Linked DNA regions of Astyanax mexicanus. The protein of the gene in region 2 purifies or fractionates together with the protein of the main gene of each other region. This does not show direct contact. Links are inferred from orthologs where the notes say so. Each region holds a gene or a part of one and is shown on either strand. Other genes may lie near its edges.

The links.
Region 1: the proteins of sos1 (region 2) and eps8a purify together in Homo sapiens (affinity purification with western blotting; 5 studies listed by BioGRID and IntAct, with this or other methods). This does not show direct contact. The link is inferred for Astyanax mexicanus from reciprocal best matches to the Homo sapiens genes SOS1 and EPS8.
Region 3: the proteins of sos1 (region 2) and ptpn11a purify together in Homo sapiens (affinity purification with western blotting; 4 studies listed by BioGRID and IntAct, with this or other methods). This does not show direct contact. The link is inferred for Astyanax mexicanus from reciprocal best matches to the Homo sapiens genes SOS1 and PTPN11.
Region 4: the proteins of sos1 (region 2) and shc1 purify together in Homo sapiens (affinity purification with western blotting; 14 studies listed by BioGRID and IntAct, with this or other methods). This does not show direct contact. The link is inferred for Astyanax mexicanus from reciprocal best matches to the Homo sapiens genes SOS1 and SHC1.

Annotation. Positions count from the first base shown.
Region 1 is NC_064409.1:30,838,554-30,846,238, reverse strand, and holds the start of eps8a (epidermal growth factor receptor kinase substrate 8a), read right to left. Parts: upstream 3,004-7,685; 5' UTR 2,760-3,003; intron 1-2,759. UniProt on the Homo sapiens protein: Signaling adapter that controls various cellular protrusions by regulating actin cytoskeleton dynamics and architecture. Depending on its association with other signal transducers, can regulate different processes.
Region 2 is NC_064423.1:31,884,104-31,891,635, reverse strand, and holds the start of sos1 (son of sevenless homolog 1), read right to left. Parts: upstream 3,009-7,532; 5' UTR 2,292-3,008; coding exon 2,205-2,291; intron 1-2,204. Other genes in the region: rfc4 (replication factor C subunit 4), read left to right, coding at 5,566-5,678.
Region 3 is NC_064427.1:889,904-897,219, reverse strand, and holds the start of ptpn11a (tyrosine-protein phosphatase non-receptor type 11), read right to left. Parts: upstream 3,017-7,316; 5' UTR 2,765-3,016; coding exon 2,751-2,764; intron 1-2,750. Other genes in the region: tmed2 (transmembrane emp24 domain-containing protein 2), read left to right, coding at 4,197-4,382, 5,243-5,435, 6,074-6,094. UniProt on the Homo sapiens protein: Acts downstream of various receptor and cytoplasmic protein tyrosine kinases to participate in the signal transduction from the cell surface to the nucleus. Positively regulates MAPK signal transduction pathway. Dephosphorylates GAB1, ARHGAP35 and EGFR.
Region 4 is NC_064413.1:2,311,889-2,318,863, reverse strand, and holds the start of shc1 (SHC-transforming protein 1), read left to right. Parts: upstream 1-3,953; 5' UTR 3,954-6,975. UniProt on the Homo sapiens protein: Signaling adapter that couples activated growth factor receptors to signaling pathways. Participates in a signaling cascade initiated by activated KIT and KITLG/SCF.

The DNA.
Region 1 (7,685 bases), on a different chromosome or scaffold from region 2:
GCAAAGTTATATTCTTCTCACAGTTCTAAAAACAAGTGGGTTACATAGAAGCACATATGCTGTGAATTGCTAAGTATGTAAATTGCTAAGGTACAAACAAAGCAACCCATAGGCTTACAATATTGAGTATATCCTTAAGTAGCCAACATTCTATGTTTTTCTTGTATTTTGGTCTACATACAGTGTGTGTGTGTATTTGGATTTCAAAATGATCATCCTTACACATTCATTATGCAACTATGCATTCACTCTTAGAATTAAACAAGCCATTTCTTTTACCGTACATGAACAGTGTGTATGTGATCACCTGTGGTAGGCTGAACAGTCAGATAGGTAAATGAGAAGGTTCTCACCACAGAGAAACCATGAACTCAACATGTTTTTACTTCATGGAATGTATGAACTGTATAGTGAGAAGTATGCGTTTAAACCTTTAAATATTAAAGCAGAAGTATGAATCTAAACAACTTTGAATATGCTACACTGACTGTCTAGAAAGTAGAGATGTGAAGAGGAGTTCTATTCTTCTTATACCTCTAAAAACAACAGACTGCAAACTGCACATCTCACTGCAGAATCCACAAAACACTTTAGTCTTCTTATTAGCAAAAATAGAGAAAATTACTAAATGGTAGCAAGAGACAATTTTTGAGCATCATATCAAGTGTTTTCTTGTAGTGTCACCCAAAGACAAAAAAGGTAAAAAAAAAAGTCAGAGGTCAAACTTTGAATTGAAAGTTAAAATTTAACTATATATTTAACTATATATATAATTAAACTTATAATTTAATTGAGTGGACAACAAAATATAGCTAGTTCTTCCAGGACACTGTTCTACATTTAAATATGACTGCAACTATTGATTAGTCAACCTAATCTGATCACTACTTTTCCGATTAGTTAACGACTATTTTTGCAAAGTGATAGAAACAGCTAAACATGGGATTTAAAAGTCATTAAAATGTCCAGATCTTGTTTAAACAAGGAATTTGCTGATAATTACTGAGTAAATATGTAATCTGTTATATTTGGGAATGTTCGGAGACACAGACCAAGTTAAGTGTAAGTGTGTAAGTGAGCCCATTACCCATCTTGCATTGCGTTTCCAATGTATTCCAAATATTTCATGGTATTTATGCGATAATTATACTCTTGGCAATATGACAAAACACTGAATTAAACAAAAATATTTTAAGAATACACTAGTGCAACAAAATATTCCATACAATATGATATGATATTGCATACAATATGAAATGTTATGACTAAAATATTAAAAAATAGGAATTTTATCAGATTTGTAACAGAAGTAAATGATCTAGAATGTCATGATAATATTAATGCACTTCAAATATCTACATATATCCAGGACTAAAGTAAAATAAATGATACTGGACAGACATGATCTGTGTCAAGTAGATATATAATGTGAAATAAGAACTGTGCATTTTTCTTTTGCTACAAAATGCAAAACAAAGTAGTCGACCGATGTGATAATTAGGGGTGGATGATATAAGACTCGATATTTCAGGGTATAATATCGTTCACAATATTTAAAAATGTTGGCGATATTATTGTGAACCATACAATATGGCAAACCCCTAATGCAAAACCAAATATATTAATTCTTTTCCTGCGGGATTTTCTGTTCACAACAGGCCTTTACTGGTTACTTGAGCAACTGCAGTGGTGCTTATGGCACTGATACAAGAGCTGCACCATAGTGCACGTTTTGAATGTACTTAACTACATTCTATACATGCTGGCCAGGGCAGAGATATCTCTAAATGCCCCAAATTTAACCTACGTCCTGTCACTTTAGCATTTTATTCAGCGTATGTAGGTTATTGTTGAGAGGACATGTTTATCTCCACTGTTCACCTTAAAGAAAAGAAACTTCCCTGCCAAAAAAAAAAATCAAGCTCAAGACCAGCTAGCTGCTCAACCAGAAAAAAACACATACTCTACGCTGAGTGGCTAGTTCGTTATCTTGCTCTTTACCAGCACAGGGTATGTTTTATTTCTCTGGAAGACTAGCTGCATTAGCAAGGTTATGTTCACAAGACCTCCTGCCTATATGGACCTGACAGACTGAGATTTAGCTAGCTAACAACCCCAAGAAAACACCACACTTCACCTACAACAACAGGACTTATCCAGTGGCCAATCTCTTCCAAATAAGCATATAATGAAGCAAAAACGGACATTATCCACCGTTTCACAATCTGAGCCCAAATAAAGACCAATAAAAAGGAAGAAATTTATTTTTCTCTTTGTTTTCCACCCTTTCTCAGGAGCAGCCCGGACAACGCGCTGGGATTGGTCATTTGCTCGTGAGAGTGCACTACTAGCCAATCACAGAGTAATTGCGGACTGCTCATAGCCAATCACAACGAAAGAAGGGCGGGACTTGTCAGAAAACAGGTGGGAAATGAGAAGCGGGCACTGGTTTGCGAGTCTCCTTCTGCTATGGCAACCGAATAGCTAGTTACCATTAGGCAGGTGTGTGACACACACAGACACACACACGACGACCAGCTCACTGTAAAGAATAAAACACAACAAATTACAACACAATACCCAAACCTAGGACTGCTGGGGATTCTGAGTAATAAAAAGAGAATATTTAGAGGAAAGCACTCCTCCTCAGCTCCACAGTAACAGAGATCTGTCTACAGATACACAGAGCCTGAACACAAGAACCCGTGATCAACACATTCCCCTTCAGGAGCGATTAAAAACGCGAACACTTAACTTACTCCAAAGACATCAAGCTGTTCCCCAACTTCTCAGCCTCGCATCGTGACCCACACGGCGCTAATTCATGGTTATAGAGGAGTCCGTGGTCAGTCCGGGTCTGCACCTCTCCTCCTGAAGTCGGAGCTGAATAAACCTCTCTACTGTGTGAGTGAGTGAGTGTTCAGTAAAATAAGACGGTGTATGAGAGCGTGGCGCTCTCTGAGAGAGGTGAGGCGTGAATGAGCTCCTCTCCGTTAGGTTTCAGAGCTCTTCGCCTCACCTCTCCACAGACCGAGACTCTAGCGCCCTCTAGAGGCGGACACCAGCCCTACAACCCAAAATTACCCACAGCATGAACAGAAGAAAAGGGCAGCCATTCCGCCTTGTCTGTCCCCAGGAAATTACATGTATAAATGTGCACATAAAATAACTTTAAAATAACTTTTATTACCAAGCATACTGTCTTGTATATTGACCTAACTGCAAAAATAAGACATGTAATTAAAAAAAATAATGTCCCCTTTCTAACTGTAAACTTTAGCATGAAATGATAAAATCCTTCAGAGATGTATTTTTTTTGCATTGTTGTGACTCCAAATCCCATCTATGCTTTAAAATAGATTTTGCATAACAAATTCATAATATTTAAGTTAAAATACACACACATTAAAAAATAATACAATACACATTAAAAACAATAACACACATTAAGTTTTACTAAATCCTGTTACTGTAACACATTACCCCATCTAAACATCTGGAACATTCTACAGGTCACATGTACAACAGGAAGTTACATCAGTAGGTTCTTCTGAAGAGCATAAAATCATAGAAAATCTAAATAAAAAACAAAAGGACCAAAATTAAGTTCCCTCATTTGTTTTATGTATAGTTCATCTTATTGTAACTATGTCCTGTTACCTAAATTAATTCTTAGATTTTATTTGTTTATTTTTAAAATACATTTTGGGAAATCACTACAATGTCCTCATGCTATTAACATAGCCACCATTTATCTATTTTTAGATATGTTTTAGCTAATTCTATGATAACAACTCCTGTTACTTTAAGTCCTGTTACTCAAAACATAGAAAGAAACAGGAATGAGTATTTTTTGTCATAAATATAAATTATTTAAACAAGCAGCCAACCATTTCTTTAGATTAAAGACTTTCTTGAGATAAAATCAAAGGAATTAGTGGACTTGCTTTTAAACATGCTTTTTTTTTTAAATGTCAAATGAGTTTTGTAAACATCTTCGGCTTGAAAATATACAGGGGTTGGACAATGAAACTGAAACACCTGGTCCACAATAATTTATTGTCCCGACGGACAGTTCTGGTGGAAACAGGAGAGTTGAGGTGCACACTCAATTCTGCCGTGATTTGGGAAGCCGTGGTTTTATGTTTTTTGGATACAATCCGGACTGTCACATCCCTTTCAGACAGCTTCCTCTTGCATCCACAGTTAATCCTGTTGGATGTGGTTCGCCCCTCTTGGTGGTTTGCTGACATTATCCTGGATACCGTGGCTTTTGATACATCATAAAGACTTGGTCTATCTTGGTCACAGATGCGCCAGCAAGACGTGCACCAACAATTTGTCCTCTCTTAAATTTTGGTATGTCACCCATAATGTTTTGTGCATTGCAATATTTTAAGCAAAACTCTGCTATTACCCTGCTAATTGAACTTTTACACCCTGGTGCAATGTGCAATTAAAAAAAGATTGGCCAATTTAGCCATGAAACCTCCCACCCTAAAATGGCAGATGTTTCAGTTTCATTGTCCAACCCCTGTATGTTTTTTTAAAAGGTATTTAAAAAATAAGTTTAATTTTAAAATAGTTACAATAAGCAAATGGCTCTCATACAAACACTATGTAACTTTACATTAAGATTGATTCTAAATGTGCATTTTTATTGCACAAACTTCTTAATGTAAAATGCTTTTGTACGTTTTATACAGTTTTCTTTGATGTCGGGTGGGGGGTTGCCTGGTTAACTCATTTAAATGGTTAAATAACATATTTTTCTTTGTATTATTATTATTATTATTATTATTATCATTGCTGTATTGTCATTGTTTTCTACCCATCCCTTCCATCCATCCATGGTTTTCAATGTATTTTAGGTATTTCAGTTATTCATATATCCACACTCAGCCCCGGTTCTAGACTGCTTTGCTTTGGGGGGCAGAAGTACATATTGGGTGGGCATGTTCATAGTCATATTTTTTAATGCTAATAATACTGGCTAACATTGATGTATGAAGTACAGAAATAAAAATGTTGCAGGTGTCTTCAAACTTAGACGTAAATATACTTTGCTTATGTAAATTAAAGTTTTTCTAATTGTGATTGATTTCAATTAAATTAAATGGTTAGAATTATACTGATATAACAACTCTGTTATGTGAAAAAAAAGAGTATCTAGACCTAAGCTGAGAATATAATATTCAAAAATGGAAATAGGAATCAGTGAGGATACAAATATGTTTTGTAAAAACAGTTGGTCATTTAGAAAAACAAAATAAAACTTATTATATTCAATATGTTTCGTGGGATATTCTTAACAGAAATTTAAATTTTTTACAGGTTTCTACAGTATAAATCTCATTTTTATATTGAAACAGAGGAGAAAGTTATGAAAATACCAAAAAAAATCATCAAGACATCTACTGTACTTTAATTGAAAATCTGGTTAAGGATTGTAGGAATTTCATGTGGATGTAATGAAATATGCACTGGTACAATCTAGTTTTTTATACATTTGTACAGTAAAGCAAATAATCTAAAGATTATAAGCACACGTTAATAAACAGTTACCTTATTCTCAATTAACTACTATACACATATACAAAGTGACAAATGGTTAACATTTCTGCCTTGAAAGGCATGTAACCAACAAACAAACTATATAACTATAACTATAACTATATATTTGGTTGCCTGTATTCTAAAAAGAACTCAGAACAAAGAAAACAAGGAAAGGCTTCTTTATAGGCCTGAAGATTGTTACACACAGTCCTGTATTTAACTGTCAAGTTGCATGTAACCAACAAACAAACTATATACAACCATTAAATCTCTATATGCAAACTATGGATATGAATATCTCAAATCTTTAGCTGGTTCAGAGATTGTTCAGATATAATTGTGGTCAATGCCCTGCATAGGAGTAAATTCAAGTCAACTCTCAGCCTGACTAGTGAATCTGACTTCTGTTTCCTGAAGGCCAATTTTTTTAACAGAAGTGAGTAAAGGATGCAAAGGATGCATAGAAATTTGAATGCCTTCCATAGAATCATGTTCATAACAAAATTACAAAGTATCACAGAAATATAAATATAAAGATAACAGTCCTGGGGTGAGTTTCCCGAAACCTTCGCAACGCTAAGAACTTCGTTAACTCATAAAGAACTTCTTAAAGGGCATTCTGCTCGTAGTTCAGCACCTTAAACATCAGGGAATACCAATTTTGAGGGAGAAAAAAATATTATTTCCGTGGTTGAATCAATTATATTATATTATATTATATTGCCAACTTTGTCTGTGGTTTGTAGTCTAACTGGCCATATTGGAATTGACCAATCAAACCCACAAATAAATCATTAAAATCCAGATTAGCGATGGTTCTTGACATTACTGCTGCAAGGAATGCAATCAATAAATTCCTGCAGATGATGCTCAAGGTTTAAGCAAAGCTGCAAAATCTACAAATCCGTGGATTCTGTAATCAGGCTGTTACTGTGGAATACACGCACCAATTCACAATTCCCACCAGTTCAGGAATTACAGCACCACACTATGTTTTTCCATGCTATTGGGAAAATTCCTGCTATTGTAGGTCTAGTGGAGGGGACGCCCGTGGTGTATTTTATCCCACCTACACGTACTGTAAAGGGTATCGGTGAATGTGCAGGTAATATTTAATAATATTTCATAATCAGGTGCTTCTTCATCTGAGCAAATTCTGGGGTGTGTCAACTTACAAATATATAAGTACCAGTCAAAAGTTTGTACACGTCTCATTCAATGTTTTTTCTTTCTTTTTTTTATTTAATTCATTTTCTACATTGTAGATTAATATTAAAACCATGAAAACTATTAATTGATGCATATGGAATTATCTAGTAAACAAAAAGGTACATTGCCTTCACAATCCCCTAACCTTAACCCAACTGAGATGATGATTTGCAAGGAGCTGGAGCTGGAGGAAAAGCAGTAACTATTCTTTAGCACCTCCAGGAATTACTTCCTTTAAGAAGCTGAGAAAACTATTCCAGGTGACTCTTCCTCCTGAAGATACTGAGATTAAAATATCAAGAGTGTTCAGATCTGTCCTCAAAGATAAATGTATAAACTTAAAACACTCTGGTTGTTTTAAAAAATATATATGCTGCTGCTGCGCCTCACTGGTACTGACCCTGTTTACGTTGACTACTCCTGTATGCTCTATAACTTTTAATTAAGTTGTTTTATCGTATCCGCACCAGTCTGGTTCTTGTCTGGCCCTGACAAGATACACAGCCATTATGACAGAGACTGTGGATACGGAGTCTATTAAGTCTGGTTTGGCTAACCAGGGCCGGCTTCTCGGTCATCACCAGCAAACGCTCTCTGGTGTGACCCAGGCCGTTGACGAGCTAGTACGCCAGCAAACTAGCCAGCAGCAGCAGCAATCCGAGACCATTGGTCATCTCCGGGGTTCATCTACCCAAAACTCCCAGCCCGGTAGTTAACCCTGTTACCACCCTTCTTCCACTCCACACGCTAACGTGGTATGTACCGAACATAGAGTTAAATGTTTCAATTTAACTGTAATTATCACCACTCCAACAGATGCGTTCTGTGTCTCAGCGCTTGTAGATTCCGGGTCGGAGGGGAACTTTATCAGCACAGACCTGGTCGAGGAGCACGCTGTTCCCACTCAAGAACACCCACGA
Region 2 (7,532 bases):
ACTTCCATTGAAATTGAAGTATGTTTTTTCTCTCTCCGGTAAAGTTGCTGTTTTGGAGATACTTGTTTTTCATTGTACAGCAACAATATACTGTCCATAAAAATGGCTATTGTGGGATGGGGTCTTTTCAAGAAGCCCAACTGGGTACTAGTAACAACTCATGTACAAACCCACTCAGTGCTCAGGCTCACCTGGAGCCCAACTGGAACCCACCTAGCCCTTGATCCACTCATGTGAGACCCACATTGACATTTTGCTGGGGTAATGAGCTGATCTGATCTAGAAGACACCTAAGTAAGAGGTCTATTAAGCTTTGTTTGTGTTGACATACATCTACTCTACAGGTGAACAGCAGCTAAAAGTCCAGAAAGTGTGTTTCACAGCTGTCCAGAGAAACTGAGACACTGGTGCAATCATTCTGCCACTTGCACACAATAAATCAAGTTTGTGGATGATGCAGGTGAGGAATACCAGTGTTCTCGGGTGCTCTTATGTCTGTGTTACCTTCTGTAGCGACTATGATTATATTATATTAGCACACACAGATAATCAGACTTATAGGGTGATACTGTTACCCTTTTTGAATCAACAATCTTTAGTAGTGCAAACGGATGAGGATGTGTCTAATTACCCCCAAAGTTTCTTCCTTGACATTTGAAGGAGTTTGCCCTTGCTATTGTTTTCTTTGGCTTGCCCAATGGAGGTATTAGTTTAATATTTTATGTATTGATGATCTCTTGTCCTGTTTATTACTGGATTCCTGTAAATGTGCTTTGTGACAATGTCAGCTGTGTGCTATTCAAATAAATTTGACTACAGTGTCTATGCCCACTTGGAAACCACCTAGCCCCCATTCCTCCCATGTAAACCCAACATTGGCAACGTAAACACTAAAACATGGGGCAGGTGGTCTTCCAGTCATAGCTCCTCCCACTTTTCTATTCTCTTTCTACTGTTTTCTTTGACTTGCCCAATAAGAGGTATTATGTTAATATTTAATGCATTGATTATCTCTATTGTCCCATTTGTTACTGGATTCTTGTAAATCTGCTTTGTGACAATGTCAGTTGTGAAAAGTACCATACAAATACATGTGACTACAGTGCCTATGCCCACATACCACCCATGTAAACCCAATATGAGCAATGTAAACCCTAAAACATGGGGCAGGGGGTCTTCCAGTCTTAGCTCCTTCCAAGGTTTCTTCCTCTAGATTTCACTGTTGTGTCATGCGATTAAGTTATACAATTTTATACAATTTTGTTCCATCTCACGTCCCACATGTGATGAGAATGACAATTAAGTCTCACTGAATCCTTGAAATTAATGCTTTACATATTGTTTATGTATGTAATGTGGTGTGCATTGATTCCTGAAAATCTCCTTTGTGACCATGCCAATTGTAGAAAGTGCTATACAAATACACTCGACTACAGTGTCTGTACCCATTTGGAACCCATCTAGCCCACATTCCACCCAAGTAAACAAAACATGAGCAATGTAAAAACTGAAACATGGGGCAGGGGGTCTTCCAGTCTTTAGTTTCTCCGAAGTTTCTTTTTCCAGATTTGAAGGAGTTTGCCCTTGCTACTGTTTTCTTTGGCTTGCTCAATGGGGTATTATGTGAATATTTTATGTACTGATGATCTCTTGTCTTTTTTATTACTGGATTTCTGTAAATCTGCTTCGTGACGAGGTCAGCTGTGAAAAGTGCTACACAAATACATTTGACTACAGTGTCTATGCCCACATTCCACCCATGTAAACCCAACATGAGCAATGTAAACACTAAAACATGGGGCAGGGGGTCTTTCAGTCCCAACGTTTCTTCCTCCATATTTGAAGGATTTTCCCTCGTCACTGTTGTTTTTGGTTATTAAGCTAACGTTTAATGTATTGTTTATGTATGTAATGTGTCATGTACTGATTCCTTTAAATCTGCTTTGTGACTTGGAACCCACCTAGCCCACATTCCTCCCATGTAAACCCAACACGCGCAATGTAAACACAGAAACATGGGGCAGGGGGTCCTCCAGCCAGGACCAAGCTTGGGAACCAGTGGTCTAGGAGAACACTTAGCAAAAAGCCTACAAAGCTGTGTCTGCGTTGACCACGTTGATCTAGCTAGTTAACCTAGCTACTCTACAGAAAGTCAACAGATAACTAGTTACATGGTCCAGAAATCCAGCTGTGCAAAAGCTCACCTTGTTCAGCGACGGTACCAGCAGCCCCCTCCATTTAGGCGCGTTCTCCTCGCTGAAGAAATCGTACTGGAACTGTGTCCCTTGCATGACTTCGGTGGAGCTTCAGGGCCGCCGGTCAGGGTCCGGGTCCGTCCTGCTGAAGCCCTGGCCGGTGAGCCGTGTGTCACACCAGAAAGGCAGGCGCGGGGCCATACACAGGCCCGCGGCCGGGAAGGAGCCTGGTCGAGCGGACCGAGTGGAAATAGCAGCGACCTAATGCGACCATCGCATCGTTGTGGCGAAGCGCTGAGCTGTCTGGAGTCACCAAAAACAAGACGAAAACGTGCCTGAGTGGCTTTAACAGCTCTATAAACGCCCCAAGCCGCAGCCCGAGGCTTTAAAAACAGCAACTCCAGCGAAGAAACACGCAGCCAAACAGCTGGAGCTGCCCCTGTATCGGTTCCCTGCACTCCCAGACGCCGTAGAAACGGGCTGGTGCTAGCTCGGCTAAGCTAACAATAATAATAATAAACGGTTCGCTGTGCTAAGCTAGGCTAAGCTAAGCTAAACCAAACAGGGATTCGCTTACAAACAGCTAACTAATGCGGATTCAAAACTGAAATGTGTCACCACAGTGAAAAAAAGCCCGAGTTTAACTCTCCCCTTTTCGGTACAGTTTAGGACAAAAGCGGCTCCAGCTCCTCGGAACACATTCGTCCATTTTAGCTAGCCGGTGTTCTGTCGGGTTGCGCTACCCACCGATATGTGGTGCTTTGGGGCACTGCGCATGCGCCGAACTACTGTTGTTATTACTATTTTCTCGCTATATAGTTGTTGTTTAATAAATGTTAATAAATGTGGATTAATATAAACAAAATTATAATGAATAACACATACATTATCTTATATTTAACTTTTAACCAAACATATATTTTGATTTAGATTAAAGGTGGGCAGTATTCTGATTTTGTATTGTATCCTGATACGGTTTCATATCAACAGTAGGTTATACTTTTTTTTTGACAATATGCTTCATATTTTTTATTGCAGAATTTAGTCAATACAAACATATAATCAGCATAAATAATAGTAAAAAAAACGTTTCCCTAAACACAAAAGTATCAAAACTATGTCAATAATATAATAATAAAAACAACAATGATTAAAAAGAAATAATACTATTACTAAGCAAAATAAACTACAATAAAAAATAATATATATATAAAAGAGATGTGCTTTTTAGTCCAAAGGAATATACTTTTTTTAGCATATTAAAGACATCCTCAGTGCTGCCTTTTAACTGCGTTCAAATGTCGTGTCATGATAATTTGTGTATAAATCGAGTATTGTTAAAACTGTCTTTAAATAGTTTTATCATATCTTTCAGCCCTAATTCAATAAAGCCAAATGTGTCCCATATACCTACACTTTTGCCGGGGGCATTTTTTGATAAAAGCTAATGATATCAGACTATCGAATTATCTTCCCTAATGTTTTATTAAGGCATGTCTACCTATACATAAATACTAAGGTAGCTCGCCGTGACAAGGTAACCTAAATGGACAGAACACCGGATCTACGGGAGGGTGGCTAACCATTAATTTCGCCGTGGTGCTCTAGTTCAGAGACGGCAGATTGAGCTGGTGACAGCGCAGGCGGGCGCTGGAGAGAGTGCAGGATGTATGGAGGATGGTGCAGTTAGTAAAGAGGAGTTTTTACAGGTTTAAAGCGAGCCGTTCGCTTTATTTTGGGCGGTTGTTGTGACTCGGCTGCAGATGTGGATCATGCGCAGTGGGGGACAGAGACTCTCTCTCTCCGCTGGGCTGGAGGGACAATAACAAAGCTTTCTGAGCTATTTAACGCGCTGTTTCTCGCTCAGATCGATAGATAAAGCGTCAAAAAAACTGAGGATTTCAGAATGCCCCCAAAAAACAGAGGAATCAGTTCCCTCTTGCCGCTCTCTTCAGCCAATAAACCCAATGCGATCACTACGCTGAAGAGGTCGCAGGCACAACCAATTGATGGTCGAGTAGGAAGGGATAAGAGACTATACAAGTCAATTGCCGAGAAATAGAGCGAGTCCGCTGTCAGTAGAAGGTAGAGGGATGTGCCGGGCTCTCCTGTCACCTGCGGGTCAATATCATTATAACGCGCCTGGGTCTGAAGTCCAATGAATATTATAATGTTTTAAAAACGTTCTGAAGTCTAAAATGCTGCCCATCATTCATTACTAATTATATTGGGATTTCTGTGCGACTTTACTGAAATTTGTCAAATTGAATGACCTTCATTTCTTACGATTTTTTTTATTTGCTTAGTTATTCTTACTATCTTGTTATTGTTACTATCATTAACAATCATAATTATTACTTACATTATGATTAGAATTATATTACTATAGTTATATCATTATATCAGTACATCTGAACATAACAGTATTATGTACTGGTAATTTTTTTTACCAACAATTTGTAATACGATACATAGATTTTGACGTTTTATACAGTATTTTTAAGGACAGTATTAATGTTGGGGGGAATATGGAATACATTAGGTTCTCTAAAAAAAGAATTTATTTTTTGAAAGACCATAAAATATTTTTTTTATATCAGTGTTTACATTTGCATCACTAACGTATGCTGAAAATATGAAAAAAGTGGATTTTTCCGTATGCATGCAATACTTAAAATTTGAATACATATTTTGATTCTTAATGTAAAAATATATAATTTGATTTAAAAAATAAAATGAATTTTATATTAAACACAAAAACAGTGCAGCTTTGCAGCCATAAACAACCGATTTATAATGTTTTTATTTTCTTCTTTTTGTTTCTGTTTTTCCATATTTATTTGCTATAGTATCATTAGTTTCCTTAATAATATTAAAAAAAATCTTAATAAATATTAAATATAATAAATATTAAAAAGTGGGCGCGTGAACACGTCGGCGCCGGAGTGACGTAGTGACGCTGTCATCGTGTGCGCGCCTGGCGGGAAACTGGCGCTGCTTGTGTTTCAGTTCGGAGAGTAAACACTTTATAAACCTTTATAAGCAGGTAAATACTGGGTTGTGTGGACGCGCTTCTGGTTGTTGTGCATGCTTACTAATATTTTATATAAACCTGAGGCCTGTGCTGCCTTTATATTCTCTTATAAACTGAGTTAGAGACTGAAGAGTGAGAGAATCAGGGCTGTGTTGATTCTGCTGCTGCTGCTAGTATAGTAGTTATCCTAGCTGTTAGCATACTAACCTGTAGAGCTGAGCCTCAGTACAGTAACAGCTGCATTACTACTGCTGAAACTTTAAAACATCTGTCAGTGTTGTATGACCAATCATACAAGTGTGTGTGTGTGTCTGCTACTTTTACAGGGTAGGAAACATGCAGGCTTTTCTGAAAGGATCTACACAGAGTGTTAAACCACAGAGGGATAAGGCCACAGCTGGGAGCAGTGGAGAGAAGAGACAGAAACCGGTGCCATGGGTGGAAAAATAGTAAGTGAATGACTATATGTATTTTCTTTGTCTAAAGGCATTAGAGGTGGTCAATATTATATCGTATACAATATATCGTGACACAGAAATATCATGATATTAAAAATCGTAAATATCGTGATAATAGGGCTGTTCTGTCTTAAAAGTAGTCTATTATTCACTGTGAAGCTTTAGGTGTATTTATTGTATAATTGTTTTAGTTTGCAATTTATATGCATGCACAAAATATTCTGCAATATTATTTGCTGCATTATATTATTTTATGCTGTATTATTTATTTTGCCACATTATGATTATACTGTTATACTATTATACTATATTCCTGAAATGAATGAATTTTTTTTGTTTTCCTATATCGCCAAGAATATCGTTTTCGCAAAAATACCCTGAAATATCGTGATATTATTTTAGACTCATATCACCCACCCCTACTAAAGGCATTAGAGGTGGTCAATAAGGCACTAAAATAATATCACAATATTTTATGGTATTTTGCAATAACGATATTCTTGGCGACATGACAAAAATTTAATAAAATATTTTCAAGAATATACTGATCATACTATTGCAGTAAATGTATTTTTCATATAATTGCATGTAATATGATATGCCAACCCCTGTTAGAGATTTCCACCTGATTGTAACAGAAGTAAATGATCCAACATGTCATGATACTAATAATGCACTGTATTATAGCTGCCTTAAAGTGATCCATTGTAGAAGACTGGCCTACACTTCTGGAGTAAATTCAAATTCAGTCAGAACAGCCTATTCAACAACTTAACTTAAAAGGGGTGGCAAACCATGCCGACATGCAGTATTTCATCACACTTTTAATCACTTAAATATAAAACAACATTAAAATTCTATTGTTTGCAATATATGAGTAGCTAATACACGCTTAAATCTTGTTTTTTTTTAAGCTGTATGATATTTGTCAGCCTTGCTGGATGACATCTTTAGATTCTCATTTAAAAGTATGTCCATTTTAACAATTCTGGATAGGAGACAATGCAAAATCTGCATAATGTCACTGTCCAGCAAAAGCACTGCCTGTCTTTCTGACATATTTGTATTGGTCTGGGCATAATGTAAAATACAGTTGGCAATCAAAAAGGGAAAAACAGTGACAGGCTGTATGTTGTGTTGTGGTATGTTGGTAATAAGCAATGTAAATTATATACACCGATCACTGGCATACGCCATAATATTGGTATGGTGTTCAATCAACTTATATTAGAGAGGAATTCATGTTTTCCTATTATTAGTGATGGGTGTTTTTTTTTGTAGCACTGATTTGCAACAGTATGCATATTATTATTTTGTATTGAAATATACCATTTTGGATTTTGCATTATAGCTGTTTCTTTGATAACTATGGAGTAATAGTTTCGTATAGGTTGTTTTGATGTTGTGTGGTAGTGTGAGTTGTAAGGTGGTGTTGGTTGTATAATGGTAGTTTAATTTGGCTGTCAGAAAAACGTGTCTTACTTCAGGATATGTATTTTATCCAGTTATTGTGATAACGTTAACCACAGAATTGGTCTTATGTCTGGTGCCTTTCAATACCACTATTAACAATGAATCTGTGATTGTTATGCTGAATTGTGCAAAAGTACAAGAGCAGGGTTGAAGATATGTATTGTTTTTGGTAAAATTACATCACAGTATGCCACATTATAGACTTTTGAGTTATTAAGTTATAAAACACTCAAAAGTTTTAGGGTTCTTTATAGTTCATTACATTGTTAGTCAGGGTTGCTGGCAGTGGGTGATTGAATTAAAATCATACGTACTTATAGTTTTTGATGTTTTTTTTAAATGGCACCACTGGCTCTATTTTGTTTGTTCTAA
Region 3 (7,316 bases), on a different chromosome or scaffold from region 2:
TAAGTATGTTGTGCCAACCTATTTTTTTTTGGTGAACACAACTTTTTTTTCAGCACTGAAATTTTTTAAAAATTACACAATGTTGTGTCAACATTTTTTAAGACGGCGATAACAGACACCTTTTGACGAAGTTGTAACAACATTATAAAAAAGCAACATTGTGACAACATTGTCTGAGGCAATAGAAACAGTATTAAGACACGTGGACAATGTCATACAAATGTTGTGTCAAACTATTGTTATGGCAAAGTAGACAAGGTTTTAACAACATTGCATGTTAAACAGTATCATCTTCCCACACACACCACTGTAAGAAAGTAGGCTTTGTTGTGTCAACACAACATTTTCTCAACACTGAAATGCTTAAATGCAATTCCTCTGAAAGTTGTAACAACATTATCTACAACATTCAAGAATTGGCAACATTATGGCAACATTTTTGATGTTACAATGTAAACAACACCTCTCTTGGACTACAGTAATGTAGCAACATTGCAAGACAGTACACAACGTTGTGACGATGTTGGTTGAGACAACATAAACACCACCAGCTGCTCACAACATTGTAGCAAACTTGTAAAAAAGTAGACAATGTTGTGAGAATATTGTCTGAGACAATGTAAACAACACCAACTTCCCACACCACCACCAAAGTTGTAGGAAAGTAGAAAACATTGCTACAACATTTTTAACACCACCTTTAGACAACATTGCCACACTGTTTTTGAGACCACAAACATTGAAGCAAAGTTGGAAAGTTGCATAAAAAGACGTGCACAAAACATTGTCACAACAACGATATGCAGCTAATTTCTTTTCAGAACGTTCCGACAACATTAGCCGTCTCTCTAACAGCAATCTAGTACTCTTTATAACAACGTTGTGACAAACTTTCTGACAACCAACACATCAGCACCACCTTTTGACAATGTTGTAAGAAAGTTTTAAAAAGGCCTGAACCTGAAGCTTCTGAAACAACGTTTACAACGTTGCCTCAACCATTCAACACAACAGCAAAAAAGTGTGCAACGTTGTGTCAATCTTTTGTTTTGGTGCACACAATGTTGTCACAACATTTATATGCACCTAACTACTTGTCAGTAGGTTAACGTCAGTTATCTTCCTAACTTTCAATGACAACACAAACAGCACCACCTTTTTTTTAAACGTCGTAAGAACGTTGGTAGTTTTATAAAGGCCTGAAAACTTTAACGTTAGTCAACAAAATGAAGCCTTTTCAGTTCAGAGTCTGAAACATCGCATCAAACGAGTAGAAAAGTACTTAACGTTGTCTCGACCTTTCAACACAACTGCAAGAAAGTGTGCAACGTCGTGCCAACCTAACGCTAGTGTTTTGATGCCTAAAACGTTGTCACAACATTGAAATGCAGCTAGCCAACTTCTCAGCTAACTCATTTCTTCTCAGAACGTTTTGACAACGTTAGCTAGCGATATATCGCAATTATAGGAGGCAGTGAGCAAGTTTTAACAACGTTTTGAAAATGTTTAAAGCTTTAAAAAGTCGTAGAAACGTGATAGCGTTCAGTCGTTAGCCAGTTAGCTAGTTAGCTTGTTAGCTGTGTAGTTAGCACTAGCTGTGACGTGTCCCTGAGCACAGAAGCTGTGGTAAAAACGACAAAAACGCGGTGTTTCATTGCTTTATTGGCTGCTTTCTGTGTTTAAATGTTTGTTTAGATTGTGTATGAAATATAATGTTTAATTTTTGAACATTAGCTTAGTTAGCCTTTTTCGCTTAGCTACAATTAGCTGTTTAGCTTTAGCGCACTGCACTGCTAACTAAATAGTTGTAGAAAGTAGGGATCCAGTCCGGTGCCTAATCCAGGTCCGAAAAATGAGAATCCGCTCCGGGATTTGGCGGCTCGCCTGCAGCTCAATTGTTTCCTCAAATTAACAAACTATTGCCTTAATTTAAATAATTGACCAATTAGTTTAACGAATTAATCTCATAGTTTAATAAATTAGTCCATTAGTCCTCACTCTATTGAAAAAATAATAATATTAAATAATCATTATTTCTTTTTTAAAGCTATTTTTTCTCTCATCTAACAAGTTGTTTCATCAGTTTTATAAATAATTTCCTCTATTTAACAAATCATTCTTTCAAAACGTAAATTGTTTTTTTCAAATAATAAATGAATCCATCAGGCAAATACATTTTTTTCTCGTCTTGATAAATTGTTCCGTAATTTTAAGAAATAATCACCTACGTTTAAGAAATAATCCCTGAATTTAATAAACAACTTAATTTAATAAATGGTTAAATAATTTCTTCAATTTAATAAGCTCTTAACAATATGTTTCCCAAGTTTAATGAACCGTTACCATAATTGAATAAATAATTCCCATAATTTAATAAATCACTCATCATTCTCATCATTTATTAAATCATACCAACAATTTATTAAAGAATTCCCATAATTTAATAACTCATTCTCATAATTCAATAAATCAGTCTCTTTGCTGCAGCAGAGCAGCCTAAGCAGCTGAACCGAAATCCCGGAGCGGGTTCTCACTTTCCAGACCTGGATCAGCTAAAACTAAGTAATCGAGCACACAAACCAAGTTTGAAGCGGTTTCCCAGCTTCCTCTCCGCACCAATTGAAACTTTTCCATTTTTGGACTTTGGTTCTGATCCAAACACGTCCTCAGAACCCTTGTCCGAACTCCCAGCTCTCTCCCCGGTTCAGAAACATCTGACACTAGTTTGTTTTTCCTCTCCTCAGCCTCACCTCCGGGATGTCATCTTCCCCAGCCTCGGTTCCGCCGCTCCGCTCCGCTTCCAGTCACTTCACTCTCCGGGCCGACCGCGCCGTGTAGAACCGGGCCCGCTCAGGACGGGTTCGGCACCGTGTTCATCTGCTGGAACCGGATCAGAGGAGCGGCTACAGAGCTCGCTAGGCCTCGGCATCGGAGACCTTTCCAGTCGAGTTGGAGAACGTCACCGAACATGCGACACGGCGGCTCGGCTGGACTGCCCGCGCTCAGCGGCGGCGGCCTCTAGCGGTGCAAACACACGGCGGGGCTCCGTCCCAAATCACAGACCGCACACTCCTCCCCTACTGACTACATAGTGATAGTGATTAGCACGCAATTTGGGATAATGCAGGCAGCACACTTAATTACAGCATGCAAAATATGAAGGTATTTATTTGTATTGCATCTATATTTTAAATACAAATAAGACTCATAAGACATACACGAATTGTAAAATAAAAAACATTAAGATATAACACTGAGATAGATTAGAAATAATACTAATAATAACGAGGTAGAAAAACATATATCTAAAGAATTTAAACTAATGAATGTATGATTGATTTATTAAATTAAGGGAACATTTAATTAAACGAAGAAAACAGCTTGTTAACTTCAATTAAGGGAATTATGTATTAAATAATGGGAATAACTGGTTAAATTGAGAAAATGTTCATTAAACCTAGGAAACATATTATTAAGGGTATATTAAATTGAAGAAATTATTTATGTATTAAATTAAGACAATACTTTATTATATTGAGGGATTATTTCTGAGGGAATTATTTATAAACTGATGGATAATTCCTTAAATTCACAGAACAAAGTTTTAAGATGAGAGAAAAATTAATTTGTCTGCAGGATTAAGTTATTAAACTGAAGGAACAATTTAATAAAATTGGGGAACACTTAATTAAACTGAAGGAATGACTTACGTTTTAAAATGAGATAATTGTTTATTATACAGTATAAAGAAAAATATTTATTAAACTAATGAAACAACTTATTAGCTGAGAGAAAAAATATATGATTAGTAATTATAGGAATAATTCATTAACCTAAGTCAACAATTTATTAAATCGTTGGAGGAAACAATTTATTGAGTGTTTATTAAATGTTTATTATTACATTAAAATCATTTTATTATTTTTTTTATTAAAAGTTAAGATTCATTTAGTTTTTCTCTGAATGTGCTGTTGTAGTTTATATCAGATATCGGTATTAATTAGGTTTGTATTACCGACCGACGAACTGTGTTATTTTAGCTTCGCGTTTCTACGCCGCTCTGTTTGTCCCTCCCCGCTCTCGGTCAGAAGGCTGTACGTGGCAGTCCGGCTGCAGCTCTGTGCTGATCCAGCCCGGCTAAACCAGTTCCCCAGTCCTAGTTCCCCCTGTTCCCGGTTCCCGGTCCCCGCTGGAGGATGTCCCCGGGCCCGGAGCTCGCGCTGCTGCTGCTGCTGGCCGCGCTCGCCGCCTCGGCATCCGGGTACTTTGTTAGTGTGGACGCGCACGCGGAGGAGTGTTTCTATGAGCGCGTGAACTCCGGTACCAAGATGGGCCTGATGTTCGAGGTGGCGGAGGGAGGATTCCTGGATATAGACGTGGAGGTGAGAGAGGGGGGCAGGTAAAGGTGAAACAGGTGGAGGTAAAGGGAGGGAGGTGGAGGAGGTGTTGGAGTCAAAGGTAAGGTAGGTCTTGTTTAGGCAGGTGGAGGTGTAGGAGTTAAAGGTGAGGGCAGGTGGAGGTGTAGGACTTAATGGTAAAGGAGGTTTTTTTTGGCAGGTAGAGGTGGGAGAGGGTGGAGGAGTTAAAGGTGAGGGCAGGTGGAGGTGTAGGAGTTAAAGGTGAGGGTAGGTGGAGGTGTAGGAGTTAAAGGTGAGGGCAGGTGGAGGTGTAGGAGTTAAAGGTGAAGGAGGTCTTGTTTGGCAGGTAGAGGTGGGAGAGGGTGGAGGAGTTAAAGATGAGGGCAGGTGGAGGTGTAGGACTTAATGGTAAAGGAGGTATTTTTTGGCAGGTAGAGGTGGGAGAGGGTGGAGGAGTTAAAGGTGAGGGCAGGTGGAGGTGTAGGAGTCAAAGGTGAGGGAGGTCTTGTTTAGGTATGGTGTAGGTGTAAGCGAGAGACGGTTGTAGGTAAGAAAGAGTGGAGGTAAGAACAGGTAGGGGTGAAAGAAGTGGAGCTAAGTGAGGTGAGAGAAATTGAAAGATGACCGAGGGAGGGTGGATGTGCAGAAGTTGAAGGTGGAGATGAGGAAGAGAGAAGGTGAATCTGAGGTGATGGAGGGTGGAGGTGAGGAAAGGTGGAGGGCAAGTGCAGGTGTAAGAGGTAGAGTAAAGGTGTGCTGTAAAATGTGTACTATAATTTTAGATGTTTGTATTATATCTACATTTTATATCATAAAAGAAAAATTAACCCCTAAAACTTGTGCATGTTTACCTCTCTAAATAATTAATCTAAAATCATCTCCAGATAACTGGACCTGATGGAAAGCAGATATATAAAGGAGACCGTGAGTCCAGTGGGAAGTACTCTGTGGCGGCTCATATGGACGGAACCTACAAGTTCTGCTTCAGTAACAAGATGTCCACCATGACCCCCAAAATCGTCATGTTCACCATCGACATCGGAGAAGCTCCCAAAGGTCAAGACATGGAGACGGAAGGTGGGTTCGTTTTTAGAGAGGGTTCAGTGAGGCTGGGTTAGATATTACCATATTTTTCGGAGTATAGGGACCACCAGATTGTAAGGCGCATTAAGAGACACTAGTAAGGATGCTTACATTGAAGTGAGCAAGTAAACAAAACTATGATTCTTAAAAAAACAAAAAATATATATATATTTAGTTTTAAAGTCAAACATGTTTCTCTTCCGAAAGCTGTTTATTTGGGTGAGTAAATTTATTTACAGTAAGCTAAGAATTCCAATATTTTGTTTAAGGGTGAGTTTTCAGTAAAGTTTCTCCAGCACTAAGGCTGGGTGCAGCAGCATTAGCATTAGCCGCTAACCATATTAAACCATTGGACAGTTAAAAATGTTTTCATTGTTCTTAAAAACTGAAACGTGCAACCACACTGTTTGTTTACAGGTTTCACTGTGTTATTACTTTAGTTATTTTATTTATTTTACGTTATTATTATTATTTTTTTACATTTTTATTTTCAACTCTTAAAAAGTGCTTTAGAAACAAAGCATATGTTATTACTGTCATGATTAAAGAAATATATTTTTTTATGTATTTTATGTAATTTAGTAAATTAAGGTTATTTTCTGTGCCGTAACTCTCACTTCTTCCCTTCTCAGGCGGTGGTGACAGCTGGGATGGTAGGCGTAGGCAGCATAATGAAGCTTATTTTAACGTATACTGTAACGATTAGCTTAACGCTAACTGTTGCCAGGGGTTGGTGTGTGTCTGTTAATTGAAATCAGGGCTGCCTGTGCATCGTGTGAGAACAGCACGGACTAACGGCAGTGTGGTGGTTAAAGAAATTTAAAGGGTTTTAAATATTAAATGTGATCAGTGTAGAAGTGTGGGTAGCAGGTAGAAAAATGACCCAAATCTGATTTTCTCACCAAATCTGATGATTATTTATCTTTTTAATGTGATTTATATCCAACTTTATATTCAAGAGGAAGATGGATGATCACAAGCCATCAAACCACCAAACTGAACTGCTTGAATTTTTACACCAGGAGTAAAGCAGCATAAAGTTATCCAAAAGCAGTGTGTAAGACTGGTGGAAGAGAACATGATGCCAAGATGCATGAAAAAAAAACTGTGATTAAAAACCAGGATTATTCCACCAAATATTGATTATTTCTGAACTCTTAAAACTTTGAGGTCTGAAAGATCTGCATCTTTTTTGTTATTTCAGTCATTTCTCATTTTCTGTAAATAAATGCTCTAAATGAGAATATTTTTATTTGGAATTTGGGAGAAATGTTGTCTGTAGTTTATAGAATAAAACAACAATGTTCATTTTACTCAAACATAAACCTATAAATAGCAAAATCAGAGAAACTGATTCAGAAACTGAAAAGTTTGATGATTTAAGTCACATTATCACAAATTGGACAAATGTTGGTCGAATTTTAATACCACATATTAAAGTGGCCCAATTTGGAATTGAGAAAATCAGATTCAGTGTGTTTTTGGGACCCTTAATACCTGCTGTGTAAACGTGGTCTGTGTCTATTTTATCTGATTGAGTGTGTCGGCTGGAGGAGTTGAGTGCATGTTGTTTCTACCATAAACACAAAGGAGTGAATGTGTGCATAAAACACACCTCACACATCATTAACGGCCCTCCTGCATGTAAATATATGTGCCTGTAAAGGTTGGTTTTAAAAGGTCAGCCAGTGTTTGGGATAAAATTATGGGTTGTGTTGATTGAAGGCGGGTGCACACTGAATGGGATACAACACAATCGTTTCAAACCATTATTCTAAATGCAGGTTAACACACAGGTGCTCCAGAGCTGAGGGACATTTATTGGACAAAAGTGTTGTTCAATTTCTCTGGGCACCACAGTGCCCCATGCAATAT
Region 4 (6,975 bases), on a different chromosome or scaffold from region 2:
AATGTAGGTCGTGGTGGACTGCAATTTATCATAAAGTGTGGCTCTCAGCTCCTCTGAGTCACTTCCTGTTAGAGTTGGGTTAGTTGAGCCGTTGCGTACGCGCCGTGGCCTGAGCGCTATTAGATTACACCACAGTAAACATCAGCCTCCATGCCCAGACTAACACTCCTGCATGCACCACCGGGTGGAGGGCGAGTCGTCTGAAGCGTCGCCACATGGATGCATCCGTGCGTATCCTCAGTACCCCTCTCGTTTTTTATTCTTTCTGATCTTCTGCTTTTGTAGCTCCTCTGGTTTTCGGTCTGAACTCTTGTCTGACTGTGGTTTGACGGGATGGTCTTCTGCTTTGGTGTGGGTTCCTCTGATCTTGTTCAGATTTGGACAGAAACTTTGCTTGATACTTGTTCTTTCTTTCTTTCGTTTATTCTTTCATATCAGTTTTAAAACAAAAAAAAAACTTTTGTTTAAAGAATGTCATCAAAACGAAGGCTGAAGACTGAAGGCATTTTTCAACAAGAAAATGACGGACTGTTCTGCATTTTTATTTTTTATTTATTTATTTTTTTGTTCTGGGAGCTACAATTCATGCAGCAGAATTTTTATTCTTTTCAGTGGAAATCTATCCCAACTACATCCTTCATCAAGTCTCTCAACCATGGTTCACACATCTGGTAACTTTTTAAAAAGTGAATTCAGGCAGCTGAAGAATATAATTGTCATGTTTCTTGCATGAAACATCATTGATTGCACTGTTCCTCAGCTTCAGTGCTCCTTTAAAGGGTTTGTAAGTGAGTTGCACTTTTTTCACACCTGCCCTTTTACCTCGAATCTTTACTTTCAAACAGTTTGTGCAGATAGTAAAGTTTGTGAAAGGATAGTAAGCTAATACAGATTGTGAGAAGCCATGCTGAATGCTTTGTTTTTAGAAGAGCGTAAAAATGAACTTAAACTTGCCATTTGTGGAGTGTGTGGCTGAAGAAAGGAAACACTTAAATGTGATTTTATATTAATGAGTCATTTTTCTGTACGAGATATTTAGTCTTTTTTTTTTTTTTTTTGGCTTTTATGGCTGAATAATTTTGGTTGCCAAATAGTCAGTGCATCCATACATTGTGTCTTGAATGTTATCGTTTCTCTAAAGCTAATAAACGATAGTGTTTTTTTCTCTCTCTCTCTCTCCCTCTCTCTCTCTCTCTCTTTCTCTCTTTGTCTCTCTATCTGTCTTTCTGTCTCTTTCTCTTTTGGTATCTCTCTCTTTCTCTCTCTCTCTTTCTGTCTCCCTGTCTCTCTCATGGTCTCTCTCTCTCCGTCTTTTTTTTTCTCTGTCTCTCTTTCTCTTTGTGTCTCTTTTTTCTCTTCTCTGTTCAGTTCAGTTCAGCATTGCTTTATTGGCATGAATGTAACAATCAACACTATTGCCAAAGCATAAAACAGAAAAACAAACAAACAAAAACATAATTAATAATAATGAATTAAAATAAAGATTACATACATACAATTACAACAACAGAACTTATTATTATTTACTCTGTCTCTCTCTTTCTCTCATTCTCTCTCTTTCTTTCTCTCTCTCTGTCTCTTTTGTCGCTATGTCTCTTTCTCTGTTTTTCTCTCTTTCTCTGTTTGTCCCTTTCTCTTTTTTTTCTCTCTCTTTCCCTGTCTCTCTCTCTCTCTCTCTTGCTGCAGACGGTGATACAGCTGCGTTTAGTCTCTCAGTTTTTTCTCTTTTTTTCTCTCGGCGCTCCTGACTGACGTTTCAGCGCTCCTCAGTGACCGGGTAACACACTCGAATGAAACCTGACATGATGTCCCTGTTCCCCCAGCCGGCAGTCATGTGCACGTTCCCCCATCCTCCCTGGAAAAAAACTACTCTCCCCTAGTGCACTCTGGGAATTGTAGTTTGCAGCAGCTTTGTTGTCACTGCTTCCGATATTCAGGTCACTTATCTGAGCGGACTGCCGCCGGCGTCTGGAGAATCTAACGGCCGGCGCGTGCAGCCGTTATCATCCCAGCGCCGCCTGCCTGTTCCTGTAGGAGCTCCACGACGGTGTGGGGGAACATATCCACCGTTTAACCTTGGAATTGTTTCCTTGGAATTGTTCTGTCTGTGTGCCGGAAGAGGAGGTCACAGCAGGTTAGAGGAAAGAAACAGAAAGAAGGAAATGCAAAAATTAGAGGAAGGAAAGAGGAATTAACTCATCCCATACAAGCCTTCCTCTGTCCCTACAGCTCTTTGGTTACCAGTGGAGGGTGGTTCACCTGCTTCCCCAGCATCCGTCAGTTCAGTCCTTCCATTCAGTCATCAGCGGCAGCATCCGTCTACTTTCAGTTTTTACAAAAAACACTCTTTTTTCCAATTCAGTAAAATAAAGAGTGGTTCAAAATATCCAGTGACGCATTAAACATTTCCCCTTATCTAAACCCACAACTCAAATACGCAACTGAAATAACTACCAGGAGTGGGAATCGTAGGGTATCTCACGATACATTAAATTAGCAAATACTCACAGTAACTATAAATTTATTGGCCCCAATATCACATAACCAATATTGACAACCAATATAAAACAAAGTACATAGCTAAGCTTGCTCGTGTCCCTTTAACACACATACAGTAACTGCAACTCCTCCAAGTGTGTCTCTTATTATTCTAATGTTAATGTTATTATTCTAATTCCAATGTGTGTGTGTATATATATATATATATATATAATAGATGAATTTTCATGAATAAAAAAAACATTGAGTTTTTGTACATTTCCCTCTCAGTCCAATTTTCACAAAAATTACTCAAATAAAATGCAAACTGTCTTTTGATCACAACATGGGTCAGATCCAAAGTAATATATATACATTCTATCAATATTTACATCTCATTTGAAGATATTTTAAAAGAGTTACATCTGTTACATCTGCCATTTGCGAATTTCTCCTATATATGGTTTGTAGTTTTATATAAAAATGTACTGCAAAATCTAAAAAAGTCTAAGGCTCTAAAATTTAAGATGTGAAAATGCAGTAAAACATGCACTGAATCTAGAGCCTCATCAATAGAAAGCACAAATGGAGAGCAAGATAATAATCGTGATTAATCAACTTACTGAAAGTTGATTAGTCTAAAATTCGACTAATAAAATAGTTATTTGCATCCCTAAAGCTAATGCTAATTTCCATGTTTTATTCCATGTTTATTAATGTTACGCAATATCAGAAATTAGCATCAACCCACAATATATCACACATCAGTGCATCCCCAGCTAACGTACTGTTAATGTACATGCTAGGTACAGCAGGGTACTCTTTTATAATTTGATAGAAACAGCTGTGCTATTAACTCATTTTTACCTTTAGCAATTAATAGTTGATGCATAATTCTCCTGCATAGTTCAGCCCCAACATAAATGCGTAAATGCATGAATGACTGATGCCTGCGAGGAGACAGCCAGCCAGCGAGGGAGGGAGCGAGGGAGGGGGAGCAGCAGAGGCAGGGAGGTGGAAACAGGAATCAGCAGCACCATCAACGTCTGAACGTGCACAGGGAGAGAGAGAGAGAGAGAGGGAGCGAGGGAAAAAGAGAAAGAGAGAGAGAGGGCGCTAGACAAGGAGGCGAAGAGAGCAGAGGACAGTTGGCTGCAGCGCTCACTCCCCAAATGCAGACGGAGGTGGGAAAAAGAGGAGGATGAGAGAGAGCGCGGGGGACGGAGAAGAGAACAAAGGCAGATCGCCCGGCCGATCCTTCGTTCCAGTCTTCAGGAGAGGAGAGAGGGAAGGACGGGATCCGCGTGCGGACGAGAGAGGAAGCAGAGCCCGGCTATGACTTTGTAATTTATTTATTTATTTTCCGGTAACGAGAGGAAGCAAGTCAATGAATGAAAGCAAGACCACGTTGTTCCTCTCTGAGGGAGGAGACTGACTGAGCGAACGAGAGAACAAGGGAAAGGTAGATGAAGAGAGATAGAGAGAGAAAGATGGAGCAAGACGACAAATATGACCACTGACAAAAAACTGCACCATTGAAGGATAGGAACATGAACGTGGACGATATTTGTTCCCGACACGTTGCTGAAGATAATCATGCAAGCTTTTTATATTTGATTCTTTTTGATTGACAGACTGAAAGATTGAACCTTTCGCAGCAGGAGCGAAAATCCAGATGTCAAAAATTGTTTACTTTAGATTACATTTTCTTTTCTGTAGTGTATGTGTGAGTGTGTGAGTGTGAGAGTGTGAGAGTGTGTATGCATAGCCTACTGGTTACTTAAACACTCAATCGTATATATGCAGTCAATAATCAGGTTCCTTGTATGCAAAACTTTGTGCGTTAAGTTAATGAACTCGATTGGCAAAGAGACTTTCTCTTTTCTCTTTGGAAACTCCAGTAGGTCGAGTGCTCTTGGCAGGCAGTCCTTTTTGTAAATGTTCTGTTTTTTGTCCGGAAGCGTAGCCTTGAGCAATACTTGATTTCCTCCGGACTGGTGCGCTGGCTGACGGTGCTTTGTGTAAGAGCCAGCCTTGGACAGCGATGCTATCTGATGCACTCTGCGTGGAGATGTCAGCATTGATTAGCTTTATGGCCGTGGAGACGACAGCCAAACTTTGCTGTCTCATGGCAGCGTGTTCATCAGACTATTGATCCCCCGCAGGACTCCCGCCGAGCCTTCTTTATTCTGCAGCCGGAGTCAGAGTCCCTCTCCAAAGTCTGCTTCGATTGGCCAACAGTAAAGAGAGAGAGAGGACAGGTTTTGTGTTGGTGGGCTCGCCTTTTGTTTGGGTTTCCGTCAAAGATTTTGTCTGGCAGGATTCTGCTCTCCAGTCTATTGCCATGGCAACAACCTGGCTACCGCGAAGTTCTTCTTCTTTGTTTCGTATCTTGCCGTGAAGCGAACTTTCGAGGTCGCTCAAGCTCGCGCGACTTGGGTAAGATCTGTTCCTTCGAGCAAGCTAAGCCAGGATTCTTGGTGCTCTTTTTCTTCTATTTCTCTCTTCTCTTGTCTCACTCTTGTCTAATGTTTGTGTGTACTTTTTCAGTACAATCTGTACAGTTTGCTAGATCATGTTGCATCACTGGCAATGACTAAAGGACTAAATCGACAAGTCATCATTCAATCATTCAGGATTTACACTGGTTTACTTTCTCATAAACTAATCTAAGCGTCTAATCTTGTTTCGTCACAGAAAGTAAAAAGTAGTGCACTACTTTGTCTCATATTGTCGCATTCAGGTTCTTTGACATGTACGTGTGAAAAAAAAAATATATATATATTGTGTATTACCGTTTGCGTGTACATGTACATGTAAAGTTGTGTGTTTTGTGTGTTTGAGTAAAATTGTGTGGTAGTAACTCAGGTTTTGCCTCCACCAAGGGATGGCCAGCCATACTGTGCAATTTTTCATCTGCACTAATTCCTTAAGACTAACTAAAACCTGGCTGATGATTAACCGATTAATCAATTAACCAACTAACATCACCTGAAGCGGACCTGTAAGCCGTAATCGTGAGTGTCCTGCAGAAGTTTCCGTCCTCGTCTTTTACGTCTTTCGTGTAATTCTGGAAAAGTTTTTCACTTGCATACTTTCTACAGACACTTGTTACCTCTTATTTTCCAGCGTCCTACACTGGGATTGACAGTACATCGTGTCTACAGTCAAATGGCAGCGGCTCATTCGTTCAATCCTGGAACAGACTGTCCTATTCCAACAGGGATTCTGCCATACTCTTGACGAACAGGTGCTACATCTGAGCTGCCTTGGTTTGACTCCATCCGAGGCTCGGTTCGCTGTACTGTTACTAAATAAATGTTCTTTGTAAAGTTCTCGTTGGGTTTTCTACTCCCTTTGCACTGTTTCTTCCCGAACACTGTGCTCCACGTGTGCCATGAAGCGTTGGTCACAACACCGAGAGCTTGTTTGTTGCAAACGTTGGATTGCAAACAAACATTTGAATGCAGTTTGATTGCAAATGCACCTGTCCTTTTTTTCCTGAGTGGATAGTGTGGATGGTGTACGTGCAAGTGCGGTACAGCTCGCACAGTAGAACTACGCCAGTGATTCATACTCTGTGCCATGTCCTTGTAACCACTGGTGCATTTGACCTATTGCACTTACCGGACCTCTTTGGAGCTGCACTGAAAAGACACTACTACTTATATCGCAGCTGTTAAACTTTTACACTTTAACATAGCAGCGTTGGGAAACCTTTGTCTTGGAGCAAAGCTCCCAGCAAGGATCTTATTAGAGTAAGTAAGTAAGGAGTCCTGCAGTGGCCGTGATTGCCAATCTGACTGCTCGTCACGTCTTTTAGGACTTTGCTAATGGGTTTTGCTCTACCCGACTATAGCAATTGGTGCTGTTTAGAACAATCTGATTAACATCTCGTCAGTTTATCTGATGATTAAAGCAGCTGCTCACACGTCTACGCTGACGGAAGACAAATATGCAGCGGAAGCCTCTGAGGATGAGAGCCTAATGAGCGAGGCTAGACTACTGCCAGCAGTAGCTCGGGCTGAGAAGTGTGCATACTGTTAGAACAGAAAGTGCTTTGGAGATTAAGGTAACAGATGTAGTGGGATTAGATTGCGATGAATTCTTGTGCTAAGACTGTTCTGCTCGAGTCCGTTCCAGACTGTTTAGAAGCGTCAGCTTTTAAAGACTGTCGCTTTTCTGGCTTGAAGCTTTGTTAGGACTCGAGGACTCAAGGACTTGAGGACCCGGCTAGGTCAAGCTGCTTTCAGGGTAGCTTTTCTCTCAGGAAACAGATTTCATATGATGGTACTATTCCGCAGCTCCTAGGTGTCACTTAAGGTAATGAGGGAGTGATTGATTTTCCAGTCAGCCTCTAATGAGCCCCTCTTCTCCGAGATCTCTGAGGGCGGAACGTCAGACAGAGCCAATCAGGTCTCATTATCATTAGGCTGACAAGCTGGTGTTTGTCATTCTCGGGGGAACTCCGCCTTTATAGGGGTTGGCGGTTTATCA